Arabidopsis thaliana: one gene and its partner. The protein of the gene in region 1 interacts with the protein of each later gene in a pairwise test. Each region holds a gene or a part of one and is shown in the gene's direction. Other genes may lie near its edges. The genes, in order: ADT4 and ENA.

Region 1 (4,709 bases):
ATTTACAAGTGATTTTAAAAGGGTTTTACAAGATTTACAAGAGATTTTTAAAGGTTTTAAAAAACTTTACAAGAGTTTAAAAAACCCTTGTACATCTTTTAAAACCCTTTTAAACCCTTTTAAAATCTCTTGTAAATCTTTAAAACCCTTTTAAAATCCCTTGTAAATCTTTTAAATCATTTTTAAGCCCTTTAAAATCCCTTGTAAATATTTTAAAACCCTTTTAAAATCCCTTGTAAATCTTTTAAAACCCTTTTAAAATTCCTTGTAAATCTTTTAAAACCCTTTTAAAATTACTTGTAAATATTTTAAAACACTTTTCAAACAATTTAAAAATCCCTTGTGAAGCTTTGTAAATCTTTTAAAGCCCTTTAAAATCCCTTTTAAAATCCCGTATAAATCTTTTAAAACACTTTTAAAATCCCTTGTGAAGCTATTTCCCGCCAAAAAAAAAATTGGCGAGAAATTTTTTTTTCAAAATTTTTTGGCGAGAAATTTATTTTGGAATATTTTAAGCGAAAAATATTAATATTTCATTTTGTTTACCTAAAACAATTTCCAAATAGGGGTAAAATGGTCATTAAAAAATTTAAAGAGGGTAGAAATGAAAATGACAAATAGGAAAGAGTATAATTAAAAAAGGATAATGTGAAAAGGTCATTTTCAGCAATTATTCAGAAAAGAATATAAGATAATGATTCTGTCGGAAAATTCAATGTTACACTTTTTTTTTACGGAAACAAGATTTTGTTACTTTTTACGGGATGACATAGTTTGCGACTTTTACTGGAAAACAGTTTAAGTAAAAAAATCACAAATTTAGGGATTTTGGCATAAAACACACAATTTTGCGGTTTTTTGTAGTAGAAACGGATTCAATATCCAAGATCCTGAAATATGTTATCAGTCAAATACAAATCATGTATATAAATATATGCTCCCGAAATGACAGATCATAGATCACCTTCCGAGTTTCGTAAAACAGTATTCACTTTGTTAATTAATTACCAAATATTTTCACCAAAGCGAACAAATAATAGACATCGTCAAAAATGAAAATGACCAACAACTTCATAAATCATAATAAATACAAAACCATTTACTATATATGTGTCCATTATGGTCTGCGCATGCTCTCACAGCTTGGCGATTGTGTCAAAGTAAAAGAAGGTGAGCTGAACCGTGTTATTCGTGGACATATAAAATTCCACATATGAGAAAGTGAACTTTGGGCCTACTATATATTTTCGTAATCAAAATTTTTATTAATTTCTGAATTCATTTATCCTCTATATATTAAATTATTAATAGAGAATCACACTTAAAAAACAAAATTTAGTTACAGTCGTATTTACAGAAATGCCAGCTGATGTGTCAGAGCAATTCTCAATCAATTTACTTCATTGTCCCTCATTTACTAGATCATTTATAAAATTTATCATTAGTAGTACATATAAATATCTCAATAACAGAAACAATAAAAAGTAAATCCAATTAAAAGTAGTAAATAATTAAAAAAAGAAATTCCAATTAAAATAATCTAATAATTAAGCAAGTAATATTTCAGAACTTAATATAGAACTACTTTCGTTTTTATATAGAAACATAAATCATATGTTAACAAAAATATTAATATAGTACTACTTTCATTTTTCTAATCAGATATTACCAATACATTTATAAATAAAGTTTTTTCCAAAAATAATATCAATTACACTTAAGTAAATTATAAATATTCAGAAGATTCTAAAAATATAATTTTAATTTAATTTAATAAGAAAATTATAAAAATAATAACTAATATATTTATACATATTTAATAACAATCAATATACGGGCAATAATAATTTTAATGCAAAAACTAGATGGTTCAAAAAAAAAATATTACATTAAATAATACACAGGCAAATTTCAGATTTCAAATAATAAAAAATTTACTATAATATATTTATCCCACACATAGTGCGGATAAACTATCTAATTTTTCTTGAAGTAGGTAACTAAGTTTTAATTGAAAAACAAACAATTAAAAAACTATATATATATATATACATATGTATATATAATAATAGAATATTCAATACTTTTTAAGAGAAATTTTACCATCCACTGCTCAAAAGAAACACCAATGATCTTGATATTTGTAGAAAAATCTATGGACGTAACACCAACAATACAAAACCATGGTAAGAACTAAGAAGAAATGAAGAATATCGCTTTCACGTAAACCAACAATATCATATATTTCAATAAAGACAACTATTATTATAGTTTTCAGAAAGAAAAAAAAGTATAGAAATTACATGGAAGGTGGTAGGTGAAGGATTTTACCGAATTACATACGTCAAGACTAATTTTGTCAAAAACAAAACAAAATTTATTCTTGTGTGTTAGTGTGTATATAAGACCATCTCTCTTCTCCTTTATCTCTCAGCTTGAGCTTCTCTCTCAACGAAAGAACTCAAGCTTTCCAACACTATAAATCTATAATACAGCTTTTATTCTCAAATTTTGTTTGTCTTACCATCATTACCAAACCATGCAAGCCGCAACGTCGTGTGATCTCAAGTTCCGATCAACAGATCCGACGTCTAGGAACAAATGTTTCTCCCACGCGATTCCAAAGCGCGTGGCTGTTACGTGCGGTTATAGGTCGGAGTCGTTTAGCTTCCCTAACGGTGTCTCCGTGAGTCGATCTGATTGGCAAAGCTCATGTGCCATTTTATCTAGTAAAGTTGCTTCTGTTGAAAATACCGGTGGTTTAGCGGACAAAATCGCCGCCGTTAATGGTCACACGAACGGCTCTGTGAATCTTGGTCTCGTCGCCGTTGAGTCAACTAACGGAAAGTTAGCTCCTGCTCAGCCGTTGACTATTACTGATCTATCTCCGGCACCGTTGCATGGTTCTAGTCTACGTGTAGCTTACCAAGGCGTTCCCGGAGCTTACTCGGAAGCAGCTGCCGGAAAAGCTTATCCCAATTGCGACGCCATTCCTTGTGACCAGTTTGACGTTGCTTTTCAGGCGGTGGAGCTTTGGATCGCTGATCGAGCTGTGCTTCCGGTGGAGAACTCACTCGGTGGTTCGATCCATCGAAACTATGATCTTCTTCTCCGTCACCGTCTTCACATCGTTGGAGAAGTTCAGATTCCGGTCCACCATTGCCTCCTCGCACTCCCGGGAGTCCGAACTGACTGTGTTTCGCGGGTGATCTCTCACCCGCAAGCCCTAGCGCAGACGGAACACTCCCTCGACGTCCTTACACCACATGCAGCGCGTGAGGCTTTCCATGACACAGCGGCTGCTGCGGAGTATATCTCAGCTAACGACCTACATGACACGGCGGCTGTGGCGAGCGCACGCGCCGCTGAGCTTTACAACCTCCAGATATTAGCGGATGGGATTCAAGACGACCCGGGGAACGTCACTCGTTTCCTAATGTTGGCGCGTGAGCCTATAATCCCACGCACGGACCGGCCATTCAAGACTAGCATCGTCTTTGCTGCCCAAGAGCACAAAGGAACTAGCGTCCTCTTTAAAGTCCTCTCGGCTTTCGCTTTCAGAGACATTAGCCTGACCAAGATCGAGTCCCGGCCTCACCATAACCGCCCGCTTAGGGTTGTTGGTGACGGGAGCTTTGGGACGTCGAAGAACTTCGAGTACATGTTTTACGTGGATTTTGAGGCATCGATGGCTGAGCCGCGTGCACAGAACGCGCTTGCGGAGGTTCAAGAGTACACGTCGTTCCTAAGGGTGCTGGGAAGTTACCCCATGGATATGACACCATGGTCCATGACATCCACAGAAGAAGCATGACCCCATCGCCAAAAACAAACTCACCAATAAATTTATTAAATTATTCTGTTCTTTCTTTTTTTGTGAAAATTGTAGTATACATTGAAATTAAACCGTAAATGTAGAGCTCATTATTCACGTGGTGATTAGGAGAAAACAAAATTTTATTTGTCTGTTACTAGCTACCAGATATATCTTACATTCTTACTTAATAGTTATGAACATTGTGGTTTATTCGCAGAATCTTTTTGAGTTCCTTGGTTTTCTTTGGTAAATTCACTCGATTTTAACCAAGAAAAGCAAAAATGATTGGCATTACCAAAAACAAAGACATATATTTACACATATTTTTTAGAAAAATGTGATCAGTTTTGTAACTTTGTTTATCTTAACAACGTTATTAGTATTTTTACTACAAATTTCTATTAAATCATATTTTTAGTAGAGATGATCCTAATATTTTCTTCAATATCAAAAGCTTAAGACCAAATTCTTTTATGTAATTATCAGCATAATGTTGTTACTAAAACTTTCTGTTAGGACTTCATCTCAAGTTCACTAAGCTCAACCACAACATATGTATACCATTAAACAATCGCTTACATGATAAAAAAAAGTAAACCAATGAAAATGAATGTGAATAAAAATCAACTTATCATATTTAATATACAATACAAAGATTTTGTTCGAAGTTTATATAATATTCACAAAACAAGTCTCCATTATTGTAGTTGGTGATATAATTTCCAACATCATTAAAATATTTTGTGAAGATTTCCTTGAAGTTTTCACGAGTAGATACAAAAAAAAAAAGTTATGGTCACCGGTCACGTGTGAACTCAACTCAAGGGTTCAACGTTTGGTTTCTAGGTGAGTCGCAAGAAATTAGCAATATAATTTCCAAGAAACTTACATG
Region 2 (3,706 bases), about 10 Mb from region 1:
CAGAATGAACAGGAAGGCCTCTGTTTCCAAGGAGCTCAACGCCAAGCATTCAAAGGTCCCATCTTTTTTTCTCCTCCTTTTCGATTTTTCACCATTGGTTTTGCGTCTGGAAAGTTGAAAGGTTAGAGATTTTGTGTGGGTTATAGATATTGGAAGCACTTTTGAAGCATCCAGACAATCGAGAATGTGCAGATTGTAGATCAAAGTAAGCATCTTGATAACATTATCTCTTTCATGATCATGTAAGAAAAACGATTTAGGAGCATTGTGTTGTTTGGATCTATCTATTTTACAGGGCACCAAGATGGGCAAGTGTGAACCTTGGGATATTCATTTGTATGCAATGTTCTGGAATCCATCGTAGCCTTGGCGTCCACATCTCTCAGGTCCCTAAATAATCTCTCTTTTAATTGATTGTGTTGTAAATGGATCATACAAATTAGGGATACTGATGAATTTTGGACACAGGTAAGGTCTATAACTCTGGATACATGGCTTCCAGATCAGGTTGCTTTCATGAAATGTAAGCTCCTCTTTTGTATATAATGAACACATTCAGTAGTTGAATTTTGTATCAATCCCATAGCTTGATCATCTTATTCTCGGTCTAGCTACCGGTAATGCTAAGGGAAATGAGTATTGGGAATCAGAATTGCCTCAACATTTCGAGAGAAGTTCAAGCGACACGTTTATAAGAGCCAAGTATTGATTCTTTTCTATGTTCGCTTTTGCTTCCTCATCTGCTACAACACAACTTTAGCTTGAATCTTTTTTTCTTCTGTTCGTGTGTGTTTTAGATACAGTGAGAAGAGATGGGTTTCACCGGGAGCGATTCAACCGGCTCCTATAGTTAGCCAGCTAAGCTGCAAAGTTAGTCACTTGGTAGAGAGTGGATATAAACCTGAAACTCCAAAGAAAGCTAGAACTCTTTCACTTGACGAAGAGATCCTTCTTCATCATGTTCTTCAAGTAACACCTCCAGAAACGAGAACTCGTGCGGTATGACAACAAATCTATATCTTTTTGGGTTCTGGTATGATCACTAGATTGGAAATTCATTCAGTTTCCTTGTTTGTCCTGTGGCAAGAATTAACAAAGCTTTTGTAGAAGGATTTTGAATCATTTCCATAAACTGTTGTGCAATGCAGGGTTCGGTAGATATGAAGGAGAATGTATATGTTGTACCTCTACCAGAATTCAAGAAACCAAATCAAAAGAATGAGAATTTCTCCAGTGAAGTAAACCAGAATAGAAGAACCACCATAGCACCACCGTCGAGCTGGGCTACTTTCGACTGTAAGGCCATGATTCAGGCTTTTCTTTTTTTTATCTTCTGTTAGTTTTGAGGTTTTGATTCTAAATCTCTAATGTGAAACAGGAAGAGAAAAGACTCTATGAAGACGAAGAAGATGGAGGTTTTGGAAAAACAAGAATCATCATGTGGGCTTTAATTTTAGTCAAAAGGTTGGCAAAGATGGGATGATGAACTCAAAGTTGGTTCTGTTTTCTAATTCTTTATTCATTCATAATCCAATTTTGGTTGCTTGTAACAAAATCATTTTTAATTCAATGGAAGAGAGACATCTTTGAGTATTTGACAAAAGAGAAAGCAAATACAAGTCACCAATGTGATTATTTTTAATTGCTGGACAAGTAACATCAATTGATTGGTCCACCATACTCCATAACAACCGTAATGATTTCAATAATCACTTTTGAGTTTGTGTTTTATTTGGTTTACACTTTACATAGGAAACGAATAAAATTAAATCAGACCTAAACACACTAACTCGGTCCGGTTTGGTTAATTTTCTTACGGGTTTATTGAGAGATGGGCCTTAGGCCCGAGAGAGAACACAAACTGGAATGAGGAAGAGGAACAGAACAGTTGTGGTGTGTTACGAGTTACGACTGAAGAGTGACGGAGATGGCGGTGAACGCGTGTCTATCTCCGCCGGAGATGATGGCTGTCCGGCCAGGGGAAGGCGTTCCGAATTCAAAATCTACGCAGGGAAAAACTAGGCTCTATCTCACCAAACCTTCATGGATAGTCAGAACTCAGGTCTGAAACCAAAAACCCCCAATTTCTATCTCTAGACTCTTGATATCATTAATAAGAATGAATTCAATGGTTAACAGTCTGGAGCTAAGACGTGTATGAAGTCGAAGGCGAAAGGACGATGCGTAATCTGCCATGGAAGTGGAAGAGTCGATTGTTTCAATTGTTGTGGGAAAGGTAAAGATAAATAACTTCTCTCTCTGGTTCTCAACTTTAAATGTCTCTTATGATTGATTTCTTCGTATTAACTACTTCAGAGAATTGAATTCTTGCTTTTTTGTGATATATGATTGAAGGGAGGACTAATTGTGTGGATGTGGAAATGCTTCCAAGAGGAGAATGGCCTAAATGGTATTCTTGAGGCTTTTATATCTGTTATTTGATTCAAGAACTAAAGGAGTTCAAAATTTTTTTTGGTTGTTTTGGTCACAGGTGCAAGAGTTGTGGAGGGAGTGGATTAAGTGACTGTTCTCGCTGTCTTGGCACCGGAGAGTACAGATACATCATGGGTTTCCGCTTCTTAAACCAAAACGATGATGCCGATCCACAATAATGATTTGGAGAAACTCTTAACGATCATGTCCTTGCCAGTTTTTGTATATGTCCAATGAGGAGGCTTAAGACTTGTTTAGTAATGTTGTATATGGTTGCTCCTGACTTGTTAATATTGTTTGTAATCTTCAAGGATGTTGTTGCAAGTAAAGAGAAATCACCAGTCTACAAGTTCTTTAGGAAGATAAATGAAACGTAGCCACCGTTAGTTTTATATTCTTAAGCTTACATTGCAAAATTGTTGTATCTTGGCTTTGTACTTACTAATGGTATATTTGGATTCTTTAGTATAATGGGAAGGTTCTGAGTCAAAATTTTAGTTATGAGCTGTCTAATTTGATTAAGAATTAGTCTAGTGATGTTTTATCTTCGGCTTTGAGTGTGAAACGAAGCAAAATGGGAGCTGATTAGAGTGTACAATTGTGATATCCGGTTTAGTCAAACCGGATTTAATACATTTTAATTTGATTATCTCGGTTTATTTAGTCAGGCGCGCATCTTTCTTCTTCTTGTGGTTCGATATTCTTATCGTTATGTCTTCCGTCGCTTTGCCGGCGATGAGCTGCCGGAGCTCAGGTGAACAAGTGAAGGAGATTCGCGTTTGTACGAATCGCACCTGCCGAAGACAAGGCTCCTTCCAGATTCTCGAGACTTTAACAGCTCTCGCACCTCCCGAACTCCGAGTCACTCACTGCGCTTGCCTCGGCCGATGCGGCTCCGGTCCAAACCTCGTGGCTCTCCCTCAAGGTCTCATCCTACGTCACTGCGCCACGCCTTCTCGAGCTGCTGAAATTTTGTTCAGCCTATGTGGTGACGGTCGTGAAGCTTCTTCATCCTCCGCCGTCACAGACGCTCTCACGGCTTTAGCGTTAACCAACAATGCTCTCTCTCAAATCGATGCGGGAAATTTCTCTGAAGCCGAAGCACTTCTCACTCAGGTCTGTAGACTTACGAATTTGTCTCAATTTCTTCTCCATTTTTATGGAGCTTGACCATGGATGTGTCTATGATTGCAGGCTTTAGAGCTGAAACCCTACGGTGGCTTGCATAGAATATTCAAACACAGGTACGTAATTGAGGTACTGTATTGATCTT

Evidence for each region.
Region 2: the proteins of ADT4 (region 1) and ENA interact in a two-hybrid assay, tested with the Arabidopsis thaliana proteins (one large-scale study listed by BioGRID).

What each region holds. Positions count from the first base shown.
Region 1 is NC_003074.8:16,269,220-16,273,928, forward strand, and holds ADT4 (arogenate dehydratase 4), read left to right. Parts: upstream 1-2,291; 5' UTR 2,292-2,539; coding exon 2,540-3,814; 3' UTR 3,815-4,194; downstream 4,195-4,709. UniProt on the Arabidopsis thaliana protein: Converts the prephenate produced from the shikimate-chorismate pathway into phenylalanine.
Region 2 is NC_003074.8:6,037,713-6,041,418, forward strand, and holds ENA (DnaJ/Hsp40 cysteine-rich domain superfamily protein), read left to right. Parts: upstream 1-1,695; 5' UTR 1,696-1,927; coding exon 1,928-2,062; intron 2,063-2,139; coding exon 2,140-2,236; intron 2,237-2,355; coding exon 2,356-2,410; coding exon of another isoform or gene 2,411-2,420; exon of another isoform or gene 2,421-2,491; coding exon 2,492-2,612; 3' UTR 2,613-2,921; downstream 2,922-3,706. Other genes in the region: AGD15 (ARF-GAP domain 15), read left to right, coding at 5-55, 147-205, 296-386, 469-523, 612-702, 798-999, 1,149-1,340; AT3G17670 (tetratricopeptide repeat (TPR)-containing protein), read left to right, coding at 3,145-3,549, 3,628-3,677.